Danio rerio: one gene and its partner. The protein of the gene in region 1 purifies or fractionates together with the protein of each later gene. This does not show direct contact. Links are inferred from orthologs where the notes say so. Each region holds a gene or a part of one and is shown on either strand. Other genes may lie near its edges.

Evidence for each region.
Region 2: the proteins of hsp90b1 (region 1) and os9 purify together in Homo sapiens (affinity purification with mass spectrometry; 6 studies listed by BioGRID and IntAct, with this or other methods). This does not show direct contact. The link is inferred for Danio rerio from reciprocal best matches to the Homo sapiens genes HSP90B1 and OS9.

What each region holds. Positions count from the first base shown.
Region 1 is NC_133179.1:10,397,539-10,407,216, reverse strand, and holds hsp90b1 (endoplasmin precursor), read right to left. Parts: upstream 8,180-9,678; 5' UTR 8,097-8,179; coding exon 8,048-8,096; intron 7,247-8,047; coding exon 7,144-7,246; intron 6,787-7,143; coding exon 6,645-6,786; intron 6,560-6,644; coding exon 6,443-6,559; exon of another isoform or gene 5,978-6,442; coding exon 5,646-5,977; coding exon of another isoform or gene 5,621-5,645; intron 5,061-5,620; coding exon 4,949-5,060; intron 4,867-4,948; coding exon 4,747-4,866; intron 4,660-4,746; coding exon 4,543-4,659; intron 4,452-4,542; coding exon 4,314-4,451; intron 4,235-4,313; coding exon 4,157-4,234; intron 3,421-4,156; coding exon 3,355-3,420; intron 3,241-3,354; coding exon 2,971-3,240; intron 2,876-2,970; coding exon 2,630-2,875; intron 2,553-2,629; coding exon 2,416-2,552; intron 1,802-2,415; coding exon 1,723-1,801; intron 1,639-1,722; coding exon 1,483-1,638; intron 1,313-1,482; coding exon 1,220-1,312; intron 1,134-1,219; coding exon 1,107-1,133; 3' UTR 852-1,106; downstream 1-851. Other genes in the region: glt8d2 (glycosyltransferase 8 domain-containing protein 2), read left to right, coding at 8,902-9,401, 9,516-9,613.
Region 2 is NC_133181.1:41,760,890-41,772,418, reverse strand, and holds the start of os9 (protein OS-9), read left to right. Parts: upstream 1-3,989; 5' UTR 3,990-4,019; coding exon 4,020-4,169; exon of another isoform or gene 4,170-4,542; coding exon 4,543-4,719; exon of another isoform or gene 4,720-4,743; intron 4,744-6,626; coding exon 6,627-6,690; intron 6,691-6,910; coding exon 6,911-6,987; intron 6,988-7,180; coding exon 7,181-7,279; intron 7,280-7,927; coding exon 7,928-8,129; intron 8,130-9,157; coding exon 9,158-9,319; intron 9,320-11,352; coding exon 11,353-11,459; intron 11,460-11,529. UniProt on the Homo sapiens protein: Lectin component of the HRD1 complex, which functions in endoplasmic reticulum (ER) quality control and ER-associated degradation (ERAD).

The DNA of each region.
Region 1 (9,678 bases):
TGCAGCACAAAAAAAAAAAAAAAAAAAAAAAAAAAAAACCAGCAAATCAGCATATTAGAATAATTTCTGAAATATACTAGACAAGTACTGATGCTGAAATATTTAACAGTCACTGTCATTCTTAACGTTGAAATTTAAATGAAGGTCCATCTACCTATTAGTCTGCTGAAATTCTTTTCTCCTTTATTCAGAAATTTTGTAAATCTTGTAAACTTAACTACAGGTTAAAGTTCTCAGACCTCATTTGTGAGCTTTGAATAAAAGCATCTGCCAGTTGAATTAAAGGAAACATCTGCTTGGGTTTTCTTTAGGCTGGAGTCCTGATACACGGTATCCCAAGACATTCCTCAAAAAGGCAAAGCTACTACACTGGAACGGCCAATTCAAACCCTGGGACTACCCCTGCGTCCATCTAGACCTCTGGGAAAAGTGGTATATCCCAGACCCCACAGGAAAATTCACGCTGGTACGACCTAGACTGAAAAATCCTTAAAGGGACAGATCACCAAAGAGTCAAGTTACTCATCCTTTGAGTTTCAATCTAGAGAGTTTCCTTAAAACAAGATGATATTTAGAAAAAAAATGTTCCCACCTGTAACCAGTGACTTGCACATTACAAACAGATACTATGGAAGTTAATGGTTACAGGTTCAGCTCTTTAAAATATTCTTGTGTGCAACAGAAGACAGCTTTTGAAGCACAAGTGTAAAAATTGAGTAAACTGTGTGAACTATCCCTTTAAATTCAAACTGGACTTTAATCAAAGCACTATTGATGCTGCTAAAATATCCTAAAATGTTATTTAATAGAACTGGTTAACATGACGCAAATTAAGAAATTGCACACAAAAATCCTTTTCCGGAAACATTTAATCGTTCTGTGGACAGGAGTCAGCACTCCACAACTGGGTCAGTTAAATATTAACAAATTTACAATCATGGAGGAATGTAAAAAAAGAAATTGCAAACACAAAAGCAGCGCTTTAAAAAAAACAGCTCCTATCCCCCAAGCCCACCCGCACAGAGAAAAGACAACCGCGTTGACGTCGCCATCTTCACTCTGCATCACAGTCAGACACCCCTTCCCATCCCTTCCAAATTTACACATTACAGCTCATCTTTGGATGTGGCCTCCTGAAACGCAGAGAACATACATATTCAGATATATGAAGACCAGAATTCCAGCTCCTAAAGAGACTTTTGTTTGGAAGGGCACTCACTGATTCCTCTTCTGCTTCATCTGCCTGGACCTCCTCCTCATCCTCAGCTTCCTCTGTCTGTTCTTCTGGTTCCTCCTCTGGCTCTTCCTCTACCTGTAGATGCAACAACAGGATTCTAAGTGTCCTGGTTCTGGGAGTTCCATTAATAAAATCAAGCTCAGTCTGAATGTTTCCGATACCAGGAGATAGACTTATTACATAAAGCAGAGATCTTCACAAGCAGACCTTCAGAATAATCTGATGCTTGATTTGAACATCCATACCTGAGCGTCAAGGTCTACATTCATGCTGAGCCGCAGCATGCGCTCTATTCTTTCTCCGTAGGCTTTGGTGTCTTGGAGCTGGTATCCTGATCGCAGTGTGGCGGTCTCAAACAGCACTACGGCTAAATCTGCGGCCGTCTTATCCTCAGCGTCTTCCTACAACACAAAATGCACAATATATTCATTTGAAATAAGATTGAAGGCACAATTTGCTAGGCTAAATGAGAACGCTTGACTTACGTTGACTCTCCTTAGCATCTCTTTGATGAGTGGATGTTTGGGGTTGATTTCTAATGTCTTCTTTTGGCTTGCATAATAACTAGAATGAACAATATGGGTTTAATTAGGATAAATGGTCATAGTGGTTACAGATTTTTCAATTTTCACATAACATGTTACATTCAATATAAAATATCCAAAATGTAGCAGAATGCAATCAACTCCCCACTTTATTTCAATGCCCCGTTTCTGCAATATTTACTTCATTGTTTTAACAAATGCATAACTTTAACAAGGGAAATGCGGCTAAATTTAAAGTGCTGTTCACAAGCTTGCATTTCCAGTTTTCCACGTTTGAAAGCACATAATAGGTGTAGTAACATTTACGATTGCATGAATTTATTGGACAATTCACACATCACCCACAAAACGCCTACTGTAATGGGATGTGTTGTGAAAATGTGCACCAAAACAATTTTTACATGTACATAATTATACAATTGTTAAAAAAAAAAAAAAAAAAAAAAGATTGCTCAATCATGGCCATCATCTGAATTTTTCCTTTGCTTGCAGTCTAAACAGAAGGGGGTCACGAGAACCCTATTTGTACACGAGTTGAAAATGTTAATGAGTCTTGGGTGACTCCTTTTGATTTGACCATGCATATTAAATTTTAGTTAGGAAGAGGGTCTAATACTTGTTCAAAAGACGTACTTTGTGGAAATGTCTTTTCCTGTCTGGTAAGCCTGAGCTTTCATGATACGTTCCATGTTTCCAGACCATCCATACTGACTGGCAACCAGAGCACATGGAGAGTTTGTCAACCTTTGGGACAAAACAGCCTTCTCGATCTGAAACAGAAGCACATCTTACTATTCATCTGCCACTTTATAATATGCACTACGATGTAATGACAAAATAATCATACTTGTTCCTTCAGGGCCTTATCTTTCATCCAGGTAGTAAGGGGCTCAAACTCTTTCTCCAAAGCTTCCCTCTTTTCCTTGGCCTTATCGCTCTCGTCGAACTTCACACCCTCCTTCGCCACGTTCTGGAAGCGTTTGCCATCAAACTCAGGAAGGGCCTGAATGCAGTACTCATCCACTGGTTCAGTCAGATAGACCACTTCATATCCTTTCTTAAGAAGCTTCTCCACAAATGGAGATGATTCAGCCTAAAAACCAGAAGACAAAATGTTACATGCTGCTACTGGAATACAGAAAGAGTTCTTAAGCAAGTATGGGTGAGATTTAAAAACCATTTAAGCACCTCCTTCCTGCTTGTTCCAGCCATGAAGTAGATCTTGTCCTGCTTCTCCTTCATCCTCTCCACATACTGCTCCAGACTGGACAGCACGGTGTCGCTGTGGGAGGTCTGGAAGCGGAGCAGTTTGGCCAGGCGGGTTCTGTTGGAGTGATCCTCAATCACGCCCAGCTTAATGTTGGTGCCAAACTCTTTCCAGAACTTATCGTTGTACTGCTCCTCAGCGATCTTCTTGATCATATCCAGGGTCTTGCGCACCAGCTTTTTACGGATAACCTGAAGAACAAAATGGGCAGTCATGAGTTTTGAAAGTTATTTAAATTTGCATGTTGTATTGCATTGCGTTTTACATAGTTAATGTTGCTTCGATAAGCAAACGTATAAACTCACCTTGAGCAGTTTGTGTTGCTGCAGAGTCTCTCTGGACACGTTCAGAGGCAGATCGTCAGAGTCCACCTAAGATCAAATTAAGCAAGATGAATCAAAAACAAATTAAAGATTTAGATTTTATACAGCTTTTTTTTTTTCATTACACCACCCGCTTTTGTTAGGAATATCTTAACTCTTAAGCATAAAATTTATTTTAAAAACAAAAATCCCATATATAGCGAGAAAATGCCATTTAGTCCACTTGTTATAGTATTTATATACAATTATAGCTTGTAGTATTATTAAAATGCAACGCATGAAATCCGCTGAAATAGAAGTGATCTTTACTTAAGTAGGGCCAGACAGAATCAGCGGACAGTTTTGCCATTTCTGCTAAGAATTTTGTAAAAAAAAAAAAAAAAATGTATGGGAAATAACTTTGGGAGTATCAAACCTAAAAAACTTAATACATGAAATGAAACAGTTAACGTTTATTTAATGTTTACAATGCAAATCCATCTAGATCTACTTGTTTGGTTAAAGTCTCTCATAATATCTCTACTAAAAGACAGAATATTACTTTACAAACTATTGTGAATAAAACAAACACATATATTAGTCAATATTACTGAAATTAATTAAAAACCTGAATGATTATACATATACACAAGTACATAAATGGACTCGATGGGCTAAAAATCTGCGGAGTTCTACGCACACAGATTCCATGTGGGCCAACTTTTAAGCCAATACACAGGCTAAATGGAACATTTAGCATTATGCATTGCCCAATGAAATGCTAAACTGAAAGACAGGCACTTACAACACCCTTGATGAAGTTGAGGTACTTGGGCATCATGTCATGGAAGTCATCAGTGATGAAGACTCTACGCACGAACAGCTAAATGAAACAAACAAGTCTAATTAGCAACTCGTACCAAAAACAAGTTCCCATTTCTCACTTAATGTTCACAAATTACCTTAATGAAGTCATTCTTCTTGGTGCCATACTCGTCAAAAAGACCTCTGGGTGCAGATGCAGGAACAAAGAGGATGGACTTGAAAGTGACTTCGCCTTCAGCGGTGAAGTGAATGTGTGACAGTGGCTCATCAGTGTCCTGAAATGACAACGATCCAATTGAACTGATCCAGAGGTCGCAGTGGACCATAAAAAGCTAACCATTTGTGCCACACACCGGTTTTACTCACCCTGGAGAAAGTTTTATAGAAGGCTGTATATTCATCTTCCTCCACTTCCTTTGCAGGTCTCTGCCAGATGGGTTTAATGTCATTCATCAGCTCCCAATCCCACACAGTCTTCTCCACCTAAAACAACAAATATTAATTAAAATTCACTGGAAAAAAAGTATAGGATAACTTCTAATGTTGGGTTGAATATCTCCATCTAAAAACCTTCTTAGTCTTTGGTTTGTCCTTGTCTTCCTCCTCTTCCTCAACTTCAGCTTCATCTTCAGTGGCTTCTTCCTTCTCTGCCTCAGCCTCATCCTCAATAGGCTCTTCTACGGTCTCGGTCTGGGAAATGACACAAATCAGTGAGTTTAAGAAGTCCAACATCTGGTTATGTTATAGTGTCTGGGGTCTTTTGTGAACAGACCTTGCTGCTCCATACGTAGATGGGGAAGTTGATGAATTGGGAGTATTTCTTCACCAGGTTCTTAATGGTCTCCAGCTCAAGGTAGTCAGAAGCTTCCTCTTTCATCACCAACCTAACAAACAAGTCACCTTATTAACAGTGTTGCAATCTATTTTTTTGTTTTTATAATATTTTACATTAAGGCTTAGAAACAAGTCATCTTAATGTTGCAATCCATTTTTTTTTACAATATTGTACATTAAGGCTGTAAAATATATTGTTACAGCTTTAATATCACAATGGTCAAAACACATGACCATTATTATTAGTTGCATCGCAAGATCATGAGTATAGTTGACCAGGATCCAGTTTAAAACACATGATTTCTTAAGTCACTGCAAATTAACCATAAAAAGCATCCAAAAAGTAAATTTTTTTTGTTAATAAAAAATTAAATGTATTTATATACACAAAACCCAGAGAAAACCATAAAGCACTGCGTGTTTTTATTTGTAACTTTGCTCTATTATATTCATCAATGCTTGTGATTGGCTTTATATGTAATGTAGATTCACTTCTCTATAAAATTATCCTAATCGGTCAATAATTATGAATTTTCCAATTAGAGCTACTTATTTCAACTGGTTATAATCACACTTAACACTATCTAATTTTTCCCCCAATATTATACAGCCCCGTTTCACATTCAACTGCTTACGTGATGGTGGTGCCTCTGCCTAGAGTGTCTCCACGTGGGTCCTCGATGACAGAGAACTGATTGGAATCAGATTCCCACATGTGCTGGGTGTCGTTGTTGTGCTTGGAAGTGACAATGACCTTATCGGCCACAAGGAAAGCGGAGTAGAAGCCCACACCGAACTGACCAATCAGCTCAGAGGTGGACTGACTGTCGTCCTGCACCTCTGTCATTTTGTTCAGGAACTCGCTGGTTCCAGATTTGGCGATGGTACCAAGGTTCTTCACCAGTTCTTCTTTGGTCATGCCAATACCAGTGTCAGTGATGTGAAGCATATTCTTCTCTTTGTCAGACTGATGAGAGAAGAGTCACACACATGCAGTGAATTTTAGAAGAGCTCTTTTTGATTGCTCTTTTAAAATCATTACCATGTTCTCTTCGTACAATTGATGCTTTTTAAGAATTATTAGCCATAAGCAATCCAGTTTATGTACTTAAAAATTAGTCAGGAGACCGATCACAATATTTTGCCTATTCATTTTTAAGAAAAAGCACACTAACAAGTATGTGCAGTGCATACGTGACCAGTATTGCGTAATCTCAAAAGCAGGTAAAGGATGTATTTACTAAAAGAAAATTTGCATGTTTAAAAGCTTTCGGTCTTACAATTAAGATAAGAAAATGAAAGGAAGAAAGGAAACGCTTCTCAGTCTGCTTCAAGCGCATTTGAATTTCTTTTGCAATGCAAATTCAGACCCAATGTTATATTTCTCTGTAAAACGGAGAGGGTTTCAGATCAGAAGGGTGGCAACACGCACCTTAATTTTAATAGTGAGCTCTTCATTTCCGGCAAGGGCATCTTCATTGGTCAGAGACAGCAGCCGGATCTTATCCAAGGCATCGGAAGCATTAGAGATCAGCTCTCTCAGGAAGATCTTTAGGATGGAAAAGTAAAAATTAGGACACCTTATGCAAAATTTGCAAAGACATGAACTATAACTTTAAACTTCTAACACTCACCTCTTTGTTCTTATATAGAGAATTGATGATCAGTTTCATCATTCGATTCACTTCTGCCTGGAACGCATGCTTTTCTGCTTTATCACGAATTTCCTTTAATTGTGAGGTGTTTAAACCATCTAGCTGAATGGCCTCCTCCTCCCTGTTAGAGATGAGATAGAAACATGAGTGCAAGGGATGCTTCACATATTCCATACTCTTGGGATTTGCCATTTACTCCTGGGTTTTGATAAGATGCATAAACAGATAAACCAGATGTCTAGCCCCACTGGGGATCATTTCTGGCCTTTATGAGGAGCTTTTAGTGACTACATCCAAATGTACCCTCATAAGAAATCAAGTGAGGTTTATTAAGCTTAAAATAGCAGCTAAGATTAGCTTAAAGGATTCATTTACCCCCACTTCAAGATCTGAGCCTAAATAAAGGTCACTAATTTTGGATAATTAAAATTATTGCTCCTTGATCTTTAAAACGAATGAAGTTCAAGTGCATACAAACCTCTGAACAACCTCGTCATCGGTGCGGGATCCGTCTCTGCTCTTCCCAAGGTCCTCTTCTACTGTGCCATCAATGTCAACATCATCATCAGCTTTTACAGATGCTGTAATTATGCAAAATATCAAAGATTAGGACAAAACCACAAATAAAGGGTGCGAGTTGATAAGCACTTTTAATTAACCCAGTAACTAATAGTAAAATAAATGCTGCACTTTGGCATAATTTTATTTGAATGAATGTTTGAGGACTTAGTTTCTAAGCTGGTTTGCTTGGCAAAAACCCCATTATGCACAACAAGGTTGCTTCTACTTGATATGCAAGTTTATATTGTGAAGTCAAATTTGATAAAAGGCCTTCCATATATACACACACGTATGAAGTGTACAGAAATGCTTTGGACTCCAGTGCAGATGATGTTTTTAAAATTACGAGTTAAATCATGTGACAATTAAACATGTTTCAAAATATCAGGTTGGGTTCCTTTGAACGTGAAATTAGATTGCATTGTTCTCAAACAATATTATGTAACTAATTAATCGTATATTTCATTAAATACAAGATCAAATGATTTAATTCAACCTGTCGCAATATAGCTATTATTGATAAGCAGCATATAATAATAATAAGAGGGCCAATTCAATAAGGAAACTTCCAGAAGCACATGCAAGTCAAATTCACTCTCCATGTTTTATTTCCCGTTCGAAACCATTCCAAAATTTAGGAATCGTTAGCATGGCTATACAAGAAGCATTGTTTAAACGTTTATTTCGAATTTTAAAGCATACATGGCAAAAAGAGGAACCGCACAAAGAAGGCAACAGTACAGCAAACACTGTCAAGTTCAAAGCCATCAAATATAATGCAAATCGGCGCATTTCACGGCCGTTTATTAAAATCTACTCACCGAACGCCAAAAGTGCACAGAGGAGACCGATAATCCACAGCCGCCTCATTGTTTTTGAAAGAAAAACGGTTTATTAATGAGACTCAATAGCAGATTAACGCCTTGAGCTTTTGCAGAGCCCTCCACGCCTCGATGAAGTGTTTCAGTGCGTGGACAGGGAGAGAGAAGTCGGCTTTATTAACTCATGCGCTCTAGGGCGGTGCTCTGCTGCTTTCAGCCATTCACTGCACCCCACGCACAACACCGCACCAACCAGAGAGCGATCCGCAGTCGGCGTCGCCCAATCAGCGTCTTACATGTCCGATCCTACACGCTCTATTCGTGGCTCGCGCTGATTGGCTTCACGGGATGTCAATTCATCGAGCGAGTTTTACATGAGGATTCGTCATAGACTGTAAAACTGTTCTGGGAACGGTTGTGGGTTTGTTTTCAGCTTTAAACAGAATGGGGAGGAAACGTAACTAGGCGATTCAGAATCAGATTTAAGTTACGTTTACCTTAGCAACCAGTTGTTGACCACTTCAAAGACTTCAAAGACAAGTTTTTAACCTAAAACGTTTGGTAGTTGAATAAATATAATGTTTTATTGTTTATTTAACTTGTGTTTTTGCATTTGTGTTGTTTAATGTAACTATAAATACTTCTGAAACTAGTATCTAGTTAATAATAGTTCAAAATAGTTCTGGAAAAAAATGCATGGATTAAACATCCAAGGAGAGGTTGACAGCCCGTCTCTTCAGCCTTACCTATGTTATGTTCCAGATGATCTCCAAGAAGATTTGTTTTACCTGAAATACAATATATTTTCTCATCTAGATGCACTTTGTCAGACAAGAGGAACCTGTTTCAGACCTATGGACTTGCAGAGGAGCAAACAAGACAGGGATGATGCAAATAATCATAAAAATGACTCTGATCTCTTTGACCAGCAGCTGAAAATCAGTTTGGATCTCGTAGACCGCTCATCATTTTTCATTTGTCTGCTTGGACACAGCTATGGACAGTGTCTTCCTGATATCGAATCATGTTCTTCATCTGAAGTTGTTAGAAAGCTAAATATTGCTGCAAGTTCTGGTTACCCTTGGGTTTTGGAGGATGAGTATCGCACATGTAGCCTGACAGAGCTGGAGATCACCAAAGCAGCCTTCATTGACAACCATAGACTCTGCTTCTTTTATTTTAAAGACTACACACCACAGGATACTGAAGATGATGATGATGATGATGATAATGATGATGATGGGAGTGAAGAAATGAGCATCTTCTTAGACATGCTGTCCAAGCAAAGCCAACGTGAGAGACAGAGACTGAGAGATCTGAAAAGAAGAATCATAAATCACTGTCTTCCTGTCAGGTTTGAGGATATAGGCAAAAATGTCTTACAAATTAACTTGAATGTGTATTATCTATTTTATCTTGGGTGTTTTAAATACACAACCTTTATTTCCTCCTTTTAACTTTATGACAGATTTTTCAGAAACCAGTATGAACTTGGGGAGATGATCAGGAAGGACTGGGAAGAGGTCATTAGTAAAATTTCTAAGGATTCAAAACATTTAATCTCAGGTAAGTCTGCAAATCTGGACATTTTGGAGTACTTAATGGAGTTTTAATATGATTTTATTACACTA
Region 2 (11,529 bases), on another chromosome or scaffold:
GCTCCGAGAAGTGGCTTGGATGGATCATAAACCCCTAATGAACTAATCTGAGTTTAATTCTTAAAGAATAAAAACAAACATTCCTTGTCTTTAAAAATGTTGCGTTTTTTTTTCGTTACCCATTTTGTCACTATGCTGTTATTGAGAACAACGCAGATGTTCTGGGTCTACTTGATAAGTTACTTGTTAAAATGAAACTGATATTTTCCAATAGTCACACATTTGACCTGAAACAAGATTTAGATCTTTAAAATAAAGCTTCTTTAATAGGCTACCAGTGGTTCCCGTTTGACATCCATAAGCTTTGTGTTGCACACTCTTCAATGTGTAAAAATATAGTTAAGATGATAAAAAAAAATGTCAAACATAGTTATTTGAAGAGCAAATTACTAAAAATTATTTTAGTAAACCCTAAATGTCTTCTACAGCATCACCATGAAAACTCCATTTTAGAACTATTCTTAGTGTGTAATTTACCATGAGCATTAATAATAGATCATACCCTTTTACACACATCATTAAGCAAAGGAATGATTTTTGGGATGGAATGATCTGGTCATGTGACACATGCCATAAAAAGATCAATTTCTAAACCACTTTTTTTGTAGCTGCAGGGATGCTGTTTGTCCTGAACTGAAAGTATACGCAGGGAATCAGCCTGGAGAGAAGTTCAGTGACAGTCCTGCAGGGATCTATCAAAAAAGTACATGGCATTGACAGTCTGCACTTTAAATGAACAAACTTAATTGATCCAATCAATAAGCCTTAACAAATATGTTAATTTGAAAATAATTTAATTGTTTACAAAACCTTATGTGACAGTGGTGGCACTGGCCAACTCAGATTGAAAGCACGGTCTACCCAGTCAAATAAAGAATTATGAATTCTGCTTTAAACAAAAAGTAAGACAGATCTTCAGATCTTTATCTGACTTGTCTTTATCTGACTTGCCTGATCAAGATCTCTGCATTTGGGGGCTCACCACATTCTTCTAAAACCCTGACAAAACCCATCAGTCAGCTCAAGCCACCCATGTCTTACACTGATTGCCCTATTCAAGTCTCTCAACTCTGCTAGCTCTGTTCAAGCATTCAAGACTCAGTCGACTCATGCTAAGGTCATTGCTCTGCTTGCTCTGCCAATTTGGCCTGCTCTGCCAGGTCCACTGAAGCAACTTGGTCTGTCACTTTCACCTACATTACCTTTACTTCCATTTCCAGTCAGGCTTCTTTTAGATGTTGCTTCCTGATGTCCTTCAGCAGTCCAGCTGTGCTATTTTTTTTTTTTTTTTTTTTTTTGAGATTCCTATTTCTTCAAAACAGAACTCTTCCTGGTTGATTTCTCCAGTCCTGCACAGGCTGGCTGCCCTCCTCAACTTCACTAGCTACTCTTGCATCCTTGATATTGTTTTAGATGCCACTCCTGTTCTTCCTCCTTCTATTACTGATGTCAAGTTAATGTCAAGTTAATGCTAGTCCATGCGTTCTTCTGTTGAAGTATCCTTTGTTCAATTTCCTTTGTAGGGGCATCTGGTGTATCCCATGTAAAAGTGTGGTGTCACTATTGGAAACAGATCTCTAAATAAAATTCTCAATCTATTCCACTAGAAAATCCTGATAGATCGGCTTTATATTATTATACAAAAGGCCCAGCTTACTGAGAATCAGCACACCAGATGCGAGGGCATAATGTCAAAAGCAAATCATTGTAATCAATGATGCTGTCTACAGTGGACAAAATATGCAGATACACATTCAGTTTCTGAAGTTCACACACACCCACACTTGAGCAAACATGAAAAAAATAATTTAACATAAATCAGAGAAAAATATTTGTTATTATTTTTAAGTCATAGCCAATGACATGATTGTGCAGTGGTTAGCACTGTCGCCTTACAGCAAGAAGGTCACCGGTTTAAGCCCCGGCTGGATCAGTTGGCATTTCTGTGTGGCGTTCGCATGTTCTCCCCGTGTTCACATGTGTTTCCTCCTGGTGCTCCGGTGTCCCGCACAGTCCAAAGACATGCTCCATAGGTGAATTGAATAAACTAAATTGGCCGTATTATATGCCTGTAAATGAGTGAGTATGGATGTTTTCCAGTACTGGGTTGCAGTTGGAAGGGCATCCGCTGTGTAAAACATATAAGTTAGCAGTTCATACTCCTATGGCGACCCCTGATGAATAAAGGGACCGAAGCCGAAGGAAAAAGTCATGATCAGGTTTAAAAATGACACTGATTGACACAATTGACACTGTTCTGTGAGGTTTCCTTTGGTTATTCTCAATGCCTCACTTTCATTTAGTTGTTAAATTTTCTTGCCATGATTCTAACGTCTTTAATTCACTGACGATGTATTCACAAAAAAACCTTTGTTTTTTTCAAATAAAGTTTAACATTTTAAAATTTTGCCCCAATTGTGGGCTGTATAGTATATGTAACTTATTTAACTTAGATTTCTTTACATAGCGAAAAAAAATATTATTTTCATAAGTGCTCCCTGCTGTAAAATGTAATGTACTGCCAGCAGTAAAAAAAAGAAAAAAAAACTGCACCTAGACTTTATCTCTGTATGTTTCAATTATTCCGTTTCATTATTCACTTTGAAAAAAACTGAAGAGTTCAGATGCAATATCTTCTTAATACCATCTGAATTTTGTGTAGATTCAGTAATATAACGTTTATGGCAAAGGATAGGCTACATCTTTTTATGGTCTTTAGCCTAAAGTGAAATATCTCAACATAAACAAAGGAGGATGAGAAAAATGTTTTGCATCTGGACAACTTCAACTTCAACTGCTAATGAATAACCTAAACATGCCATCTTTCGGATGAGACGTTAAAACGAGATCCTGACTCTCTGTGGTCATTAAAAATCCCAGGATGTCCTTCAAAAAAGTGTAGGGGTTAAAACCAGGTATCCTGGCCAAAACTCCCCACTGGCTTTAGTCCATCATGGCCTCCTCCCCATCATAATTGGCTTCATCATTCTGTCTCCTTTCCACCAATCAGCTGATGTTTGGTGTGCGGTTTGGACTGGAGCAATATGGCTGCCGTCGCGTCAATGGTATCTGGATGCTGCACACTGGTGGTTGATGAGGAGATTCACCCAAAAATGTGTAAAGCGATTTGAGTGTCCAAAAAAAGCGCTATATAAGCGAGGCAGTGGCGCAGTAGGTAGTGCTGTCGCCTTAAAGCAAGAAGGTCGCTGGGTCGCTGGTTTGAACCTCGGGTCAGTTGGCGTGTCTGTGTGGAGTTTGCACGTTCTCCCTGCCTTCTTGTTGGTTTCCTCCGGGTGCTCTGGTTTCCCCCACAGTCCAAAGACATGTGGTACAGGTGAATTGGGTAGGCTAAATTGTCTGTAGTGTATGAGTGTGTGGGTAAATGTCTGTGTGGATGTTTCCCAGAGATGGGTTGTGGCTGGAAGGGCATCCGCTGCGTAAAAACTTGCTGGATAAGATGGTGGTTCATTTCACTGTGGCGACCCCAGATTAATAAAGGGATAAACCGACAAGAAAATGAATGAATGTTAGTGTAATAACTTTATCATAATTAACTAATTAATCATATTTAAGTCAAGGATGTCATCTTAATATGTGGTTTGCTTATTGCTAAAATCTACATTACATTTTACTTTATCTTTATATTTCTCACTTACAGAGTGTATTTCTCACTTGTTAGATTTTGACAAAAGCACCATCTCAAACTTCAGTGTGTGTTCTCATCATTTTGACAGGCTGCGGTTCTCATGTGTTCCACAGCGGCCCCGTGAGTCTAAAACGTAACACTACATTGCTTATCATGTTCTCAGCGGGTCCAATAGAACTCATTTTCGTGGATGATGGGTGGTAATTACAACACGCTTTCCAATAAGCGCACGTTTTGAACATGACTGACGTTTTGAACATCCAATAAGGTGTCCGCTTTTAACAACGTTGTCCAATCCACGTTCCCTAGAGCGCTCTGCCATGCACCAAATAACAAATCATTTGACAACGCTTGTTTGCGATATGAGAGAACTATGGCTTCCTCCTTGATTAAGTGGTTAAGAGGATTATATGTGTTTTTCTTAACATGTCTCCTGTCTGTCTTTGCCTTTTTGAATCTAGAAGAATTAAACGAAATGAAATATGGCATACAGATTCTCCCCGATCCTGTTATCATGGGACAGGTAGGATTGTGGGATGCAGCTAGCTGGGGATGTTTGTTTGATACAAACAAACAGCTGTTAGCTTTAAGCACAGCATGGCACATTTGCCATTAACAACTACGTGTTTCGGTGTCTAATAGTCGAATATAGGATAGTAAAACAATAGCTAAATTAAAGAATGGTAAATTAGCTGTGACAGGTTATTAGCATAACGTTAGTTGGACTGTGCCTCCACAGGTATGCTACAGATTGTGCCTGATTGTAAATACAATATGACTTTAATATATATGTTGAAAATGAGCATGGTGAAGTTACATTTTTGATTGTGTTGTAAACTGTTGCACCTCTCCCTAGTTCTGCTTTTCTAATTTTGACTTTCTATTCCTGTTTTCAGATGGAAGATGTAATGTTGGTCTCTAACAAATACAAGCAGCTGTATGAGTGTCGTTTACCAGCTCAGGCAGTGCGTTTCCATCAGGACCCGGTGTCAGAGCCTGATGTGCAGGGTTACAGCGGCCCCGGGGTCCCTGAGCTCCTCAAGCCCATGCAGACGGCAGCATGTCTGATTAAGGTAGTTTCTGTCACAGTCACTCGCACACTAAATATACACAAGCTCTGAATATACTCATCCACAGGCACAGATCTAGATAGATATTAGAAGTTGTGTAGTCTGGAGTGGTGGATGAAGCACACAAATTAAAAATAATAATAAAATATGACTCCAATAAAAGTTTGAAAGTGCTTTTGATGTAGTTTAGTCTTAAAATGAACATATTATTACTAAGTACTGGCTGCTGAATGTTTATTTTACAAGAAACATTTTTTTTGATTACTAATATTCTTTTAATGTATATTACGGTGGCAGAGAGAGCTTGATGTGCTGCAGTTTAAGAAAACAAAAGGAATTACAAAAAACCGCCAGTAAATTAAGAAAAATATCTTCATCTATTTGACAGCACACATGGTGCAAATCCCCACAACGCAAACACATTAAAAATGTGCTTCATTTTCACAAAACACAAACGATTTACGAAAACCTGCTGCATTCTCTCTCAACGCAATACATCAGAACACAATGGAAATGTTTCAGGTGGACCCATGAATGTGACAGGCGCTTCTGTGCCATGCCTATTGCTCATTGAAATTGTAGGTGATTGTTGAAAGGTGAGTTCTCTTGGTTTGTTTATTGGAACATCCTGATTCCCTTGTCTTTAGTAGTTATTATCCTAAATAGCCAAAACCTAAATATCCAGGTCTCTCATGATTTAGATCCCCTTGAAACATTTCCGTTGTGTTACGAGGCTATTTGAATGCGTTGTAAGAAAATGCAGCACATTTTATTAATTTGTTTGTGTTGTGAGAATGCAATGTTTTTTTAAAAATGTGTTTCCGTTGTGAGGATTTGCGTCACATGTGCTGTCAAACGGATGAACATCTGTTCCTAATTAATTACCATTTTTTGTAATTGCATGTGCTTTCTTAAAATTGCACCATGTTAAGCTCTCTCGGCCATTATAGTATAATGTTCTATAAAAATTATTTGATAATCATAATGCAAGTGTGCAGCCAATAATAAAATACAGCATATATTCCTGCATATTAAAACAACTATACAAAAATGGTCTAAATTCCCATTTACGCCAACAACGATAACTATTGTATAATCATGAGATATAGTTTTATAAAACTTCTGAAAAAAATTAACATATTGACAGCCAAAGCTCAAGAATTCAAAGCAGAAGCTGACAAAAACTGAAGTGCGTGTTTAAAGTAAACTCCATTAACTAGAATAAATTATATTTTAATTTACAGTTGAGTCAGTCTTAAAGCATCTTCCATTCAGACTTGAGAATTGTCCACTTCAGTTAAAAATAAATGGTTCAGTGCGATTTGCAAATTGAATATAAATAAATATAACACATTTTTTAACAAATATAAGGGTGTAAAAAGTCAAATATTATGCTTTGCAGTTAAGCAAAAGATTCCCATAATAAAATACCCCAATAAAGTGCAGGTACTTAAAGAGTCTCAAAAATAAAAATTTACTCACCCTCGTGTGGTTTCAAACAAAATAAAAACATTGTTAAGAAAGTTTGCAACCAGCAACATCTGACTTTCATGGTAAGAAAACCAAATACTATGGAAATGAATGGTTCCAGCTTTTTTCTAAATATCTTATTTTGTGTTTATCAGAAGAAAGTCAAACATGATTGGAACAAGTGAAGAGTGGGTAATTGATGACAGAATTTTCTGTTTTGTGTAAAAGTTTGTAGTAATAAAGTAAAAACTGTTCTCTCTGATCATATTCTCTCAATCAAAAATGTTGTTTTGAAAAAAAAGCACATTTGGAGTGGCTATGTAGAGTATGTGTAAATTAAGACGTAATAAATGATGTACATTTATAGTCATTTTAGGTCATGTTAAAATGATAAACTACATGTCGCTGTGATCTGAAGCTTGTTCATGTTTTGTTTGCAGACCAAAGACTGGTGGACCTATGAGTTCTGCTACGGCCAGCACATCAGACAATACCACTTAGAAGGCAGGTTAAATCTTTTATCTAATGTGTCTTGGATAAATTGAGTTTTACATGGTCTAAAAAATATATATGCACTGCCTGTATAAACATGTTTTTTATTAGTAGATGGAAAGGAATTTAGAGAATTTAGGACAGAAGCCTTTCAGGAAAATGCACTGCCTATAAATATATACTATTAAATATTTCAAGATGTTTGAAATGTGTTCCCTATATGTGATCGCAGATTCGGAGATCAAGGGAGATGTACTGTTTTTGGGATATTATGATACAGAGTTTGACTGGACGAATGAAACTGCAAAGGTAAGGTCAGGTTTGTTAATCTTGATTTGCTTGTCCTAATAAAATGTCTGTAAATGTTGTCAATTCAAATTAGGAATTCTGATACTAGCAGTAAATATTTTTTATTAACCACTTTTATGTTAACAAGTCTGTAGTTATCTTCTATATATTTTGTAGTTACAAAATTAAAATCTTGTTGATCTTTTTTTTTCAGGCATCTAAGCAGCATAAGCTGAAGAGGTATCACAGTCAGTCATATGTCAATGGCTCAAAATGTGACTTAAACGGCAGTCCCAGAGAGACGGAAGTCAGAGTAAGATACTAAGTGCCATATTCCAGACTATAGAGAAAAATAATGAAGAAAGAGTATTATTGAAGTCAGTCTAATGGCTAACAATAAACAATAAGGACACTAGTTAACTGTTGTGACTAGTCTTCTTAATTCTGCTGCTGTATGCACACACACTGTAGAATACCTTCACTATACAGATGTTGAGCTCATTAGACCTCAAGTAATGCATATATATATATATATATATATATATATATATATATATATATATATATATATATATATATATATATATATATATATATATATACATATATATACATACATATATACATACATACATACATACATACATACATACACACACACAATTTAAGGTTAGATAGATCCTTAAATGGATCAATCCTAGGTAGATCAAATTGAGGCTAGATAGATCTGTCCTTTACAACAAGCACATGCAATAATCTCAGATCTGATTCACAAACTTGTTTGAAGAACCAAATCAGCCAGAGACCAGTTATCATGATTAAAAGATCCAGGATCTGTCAGATTATCTTTGTTTAAGCGAGGTACAAAGAACGGACCCCAGTAGTTTACATCAGCAACATAGAATTGTATTTTAATCTAATGGCAATGATAATCTATATATGTATATTGTGTTTTTAACAGTTTGTGTGTGAGGAAGGCTCTACTGACTTCATTTCACGGGTGGATGAACCCCAGTCTTGCCGCTACGTCTTGACAGTCCACACCTCTCGCACGTGCCAGCATCCCCTTCTGCGCCCACCGTCCACTGCCAAACCACAAGGCATTGTGTGCCAACCTGCTCTCAGTGCCCAGCAGTACATGGACTACGTCAAGGCTCAAGTCTGTAAGTATGAGAGGTGATGATTTTTTTTACTTTACATCAAGGCACTGTAATTTAGGGATCGATTGGTGAAAATATCCAATGTTACAAATGATTTTGCTGTGATTCTGTTAACATGACATTAATTAGCTACACTTAATTTGCTGTTTATATGGTTGTCAAGAGTCTCCAAAGAATCCTTCACTTTACTGCATGACTGTGAGATGTTGAGGAGGATATATTTTGTGTTTAAAAGATGAGTTAATGCATTTAAAAATCAGTTAATAAATTTAAAAATTGTATTATTTTTTTATTATATCAATAATATATCAATTAAAATAATTAATCATGTTTTTGTATTTGTATACTGTTTAATTACTTTTTAACAGGTAAAATCAAACTGATCGAAATTAAAGATATTATTTATATATTTTATATTTTTGTTGTATGGTTTTTCTTCCGCCTTGATTGTGTTTATTAATTGTCTCTGTATTTTTTGTAATTTTGATTTTATTTATTTTAATTTATACAAAACAAAAAGTAAAATATATCTTAGGAAATTTACCAGAAAAAAAATGTATTATATTGTTTGAGTTGATGTTATTTCATCAAGTAACAGCATTAATTTTGTGCTAGTGGTTTTAACTAGCTATAACCCTGCTCACCCAGGAGAGATGACCTATATGCTGTCAAATGTTAATTACACTACTATTACAATAACAGGATATGGATTGCTATGGCAGCGCATTAAGCCCAGTCTATTGTGACTCCGTTCATTATTCAACAGTTGTTGCTTTCACCTTTTACACATACAGTGCTGTATACTTACTTGCATAGAAACCTTCAGAATCATAATCAGATATTTTTATTCACAATTTCTTTCCTTATCACTCATTACACTATTCATAAAAATGCCCTCGCTGCCAAGTTCTGTCCTATTAGATTAGATCTCCGGAGATGCAATCAGCCTACATTTAATTGTACTCTGTTCTCCAATTGATTCATTATTTTTAGCACCTAGACATCTGTCGTTGCCTCTCTCTCTGTCTCAGCTGACACCAAACGTAAAGTGGAGCAGATCTCAGAGGAGCTCAGAAACCTGGATGAAATTCTGTCCAAGGATGACAAGAACAAAGGTGTGCTGGATGACAGAACAGATGAGGAACCTGCAGTTAGCTCTGATGAGCCTCCAGTTTCCAAGGCCCAAAAAAAAGGTCAGCATTCAGACTGTGATTTGATTTCTTTATACTTGTATGACTGGGTTAGTTTTAAGGCCATCTACAACACCCTCAAAATCAGTCTTGAGTTTTTCAACCTCAATCCTGCAGTTATAGTTCAATGCACTGGGTGGTGCTGTGTAAAGGAAATATAAAACTGAGTTGGTGAGAAGTGATATATACAGGGGCGCTGCTGTTCAGTACAGGCCCTATGACAACTTTGTAGAATTGTACAACTTTGTACATGGTTACTAATAGTAACTCTAGGGCCCCCAAAACGGCGTGGGTCCTTGGAATGGTCCTAACTTTTCCCCCTAGCAGCGCCCGTGGTTATATGTTTTGTTTTCATGACCAGTTTTTAAGGAGACGCTGCTAATAAATAGTGTAAAAAATATTGGCATCACCACACTTTTTTTAGTTATTTGATTGTTTATATATGATTAAACAAGCAAATAAGGCATAATTTAAACAAATATGCACTGTTTTGCATAGATTTCTAACACAAAAATTAGAACATTGAAGGAAATCAGCTTCAGAATTCTTCTTCTTCTTCTTCTCTCTCTATTTTATTTTTACATTAGATTAATAGATTTTTACCAAGGGGATTTTGGATATGTCTTTCCATCAGATATTGTTTTGAACAGACAGACACATTAGAGTAATATATCTTTTTGTCAAGTGAGATTTGGGTATGTTTTTGTCATTAGATATTGCTGCAAACAGACAGAAAAAAATCGCATTGTTTTTTTTAGATTAGAGCACAGGGAGTCAATGGGCAAAAACAAAATTTTAGGCCTTTTTACTGTCCAATTTTAACTCCCTAATCAGGGAAAGAAAACTAAAGCAGCACATTCATTTACATGATCTTTTATTAATAGAAAATCTATTTACAAAAGTAACTGGGCCATTAGAAAAAATCCTTATAGTGTTTAGCCCTGTAGAAGTATAAAACTTCAATCTCAATGGTCTTAAAGTCTTACATTTGTCTTGGAAGTCTGCAAAAACCCTGACAATAGATTTTTACCAATTTTACAGATTTTTATGATTTTCTTCATCAAATATTACTGTGAACAGACAGAAAATGTCTTAAAATTCAAAAACAACGTTTTAGGCTTTATGAAGTCTTAAATTCACTAAAATATTGTGCTGTTGGTCTTAAATCATTTTAAAACAGTTAAATCTCCCCAATCAGTTCAATTACCATTACTCCATCTTAAAACATTTTTATTGCAAAGAGATGCAATTCACAATGACAGTTAGACGTTTTTACAGCAAATTCGCCTAATTAAATTACTTAATCAGGGGGAAAAACGAAAGCAACACATCCATTTACATGACCTTTTGTTAATGGAAAAACTATTTACAGAAGTAACTGGGCCATTAGAAAAAAAGTATAAAATTTCAGTCTTAATGGTCATAAAGTTTTAGCCTGCAGAGACCCAGAGAGCAATAGAATTTTACCAAGGGGATTTTAGTCCGTCTTGTCATCAGAAATTACTGTGAACAGACAGTAAAAATATTCCTCTGTGAAAAGCCTTAAAAATACATATTATAGTTAAAATCTTTATACAATGCGGCAAAAGAAGCACTTTGAAGTCTATTTTGCATGTTTTCTTTTCATTAGACTGGAAAAAAAAAACACTTTCTGAACAACCAAAATTGCTAAATTGGGGTGCATGTTAACATGTTTTTCCTGTTTCTCGACAAAGTCTAAGAATATTAAAATATGATTGACGCATGTGGCTGCAAAACCTCTTTGGGTCACCAATGTATATGTTTATCATATTAGTTTTTGACCTACTAACTACAAAATGAATTAAAATGGCAATCTCTGACATTGTATTACAGTATTTATTTTCACATCTTTTTATAAAACATTCAGGTGTGTCGTCTTGTGCATGTATAGTTTGTAGCTTTTTTGTTTATTATTTCAGTCTTGCTTTTACATTCTTGTTCTCTTCTTTAAGCTGTCTCTTTAGCAGCTTCCATGCAGCCTTCAAACAAATATCTGTGTATGTGTGATATAACAGAGGGTGAAGTTGCTGAGAAGTCGACGAGTGAAGAGCCAGAGGACAAAGACTTCTGGGAAGGAGTTACCAAACCAGCACACACAAAGCCAAGCACACCTGACACAGAGGTACAAACTGTCTGGAAATGAACATAATGTGAACCAGACATCTTCATAGTGAGATTTGGTCATTTACTTC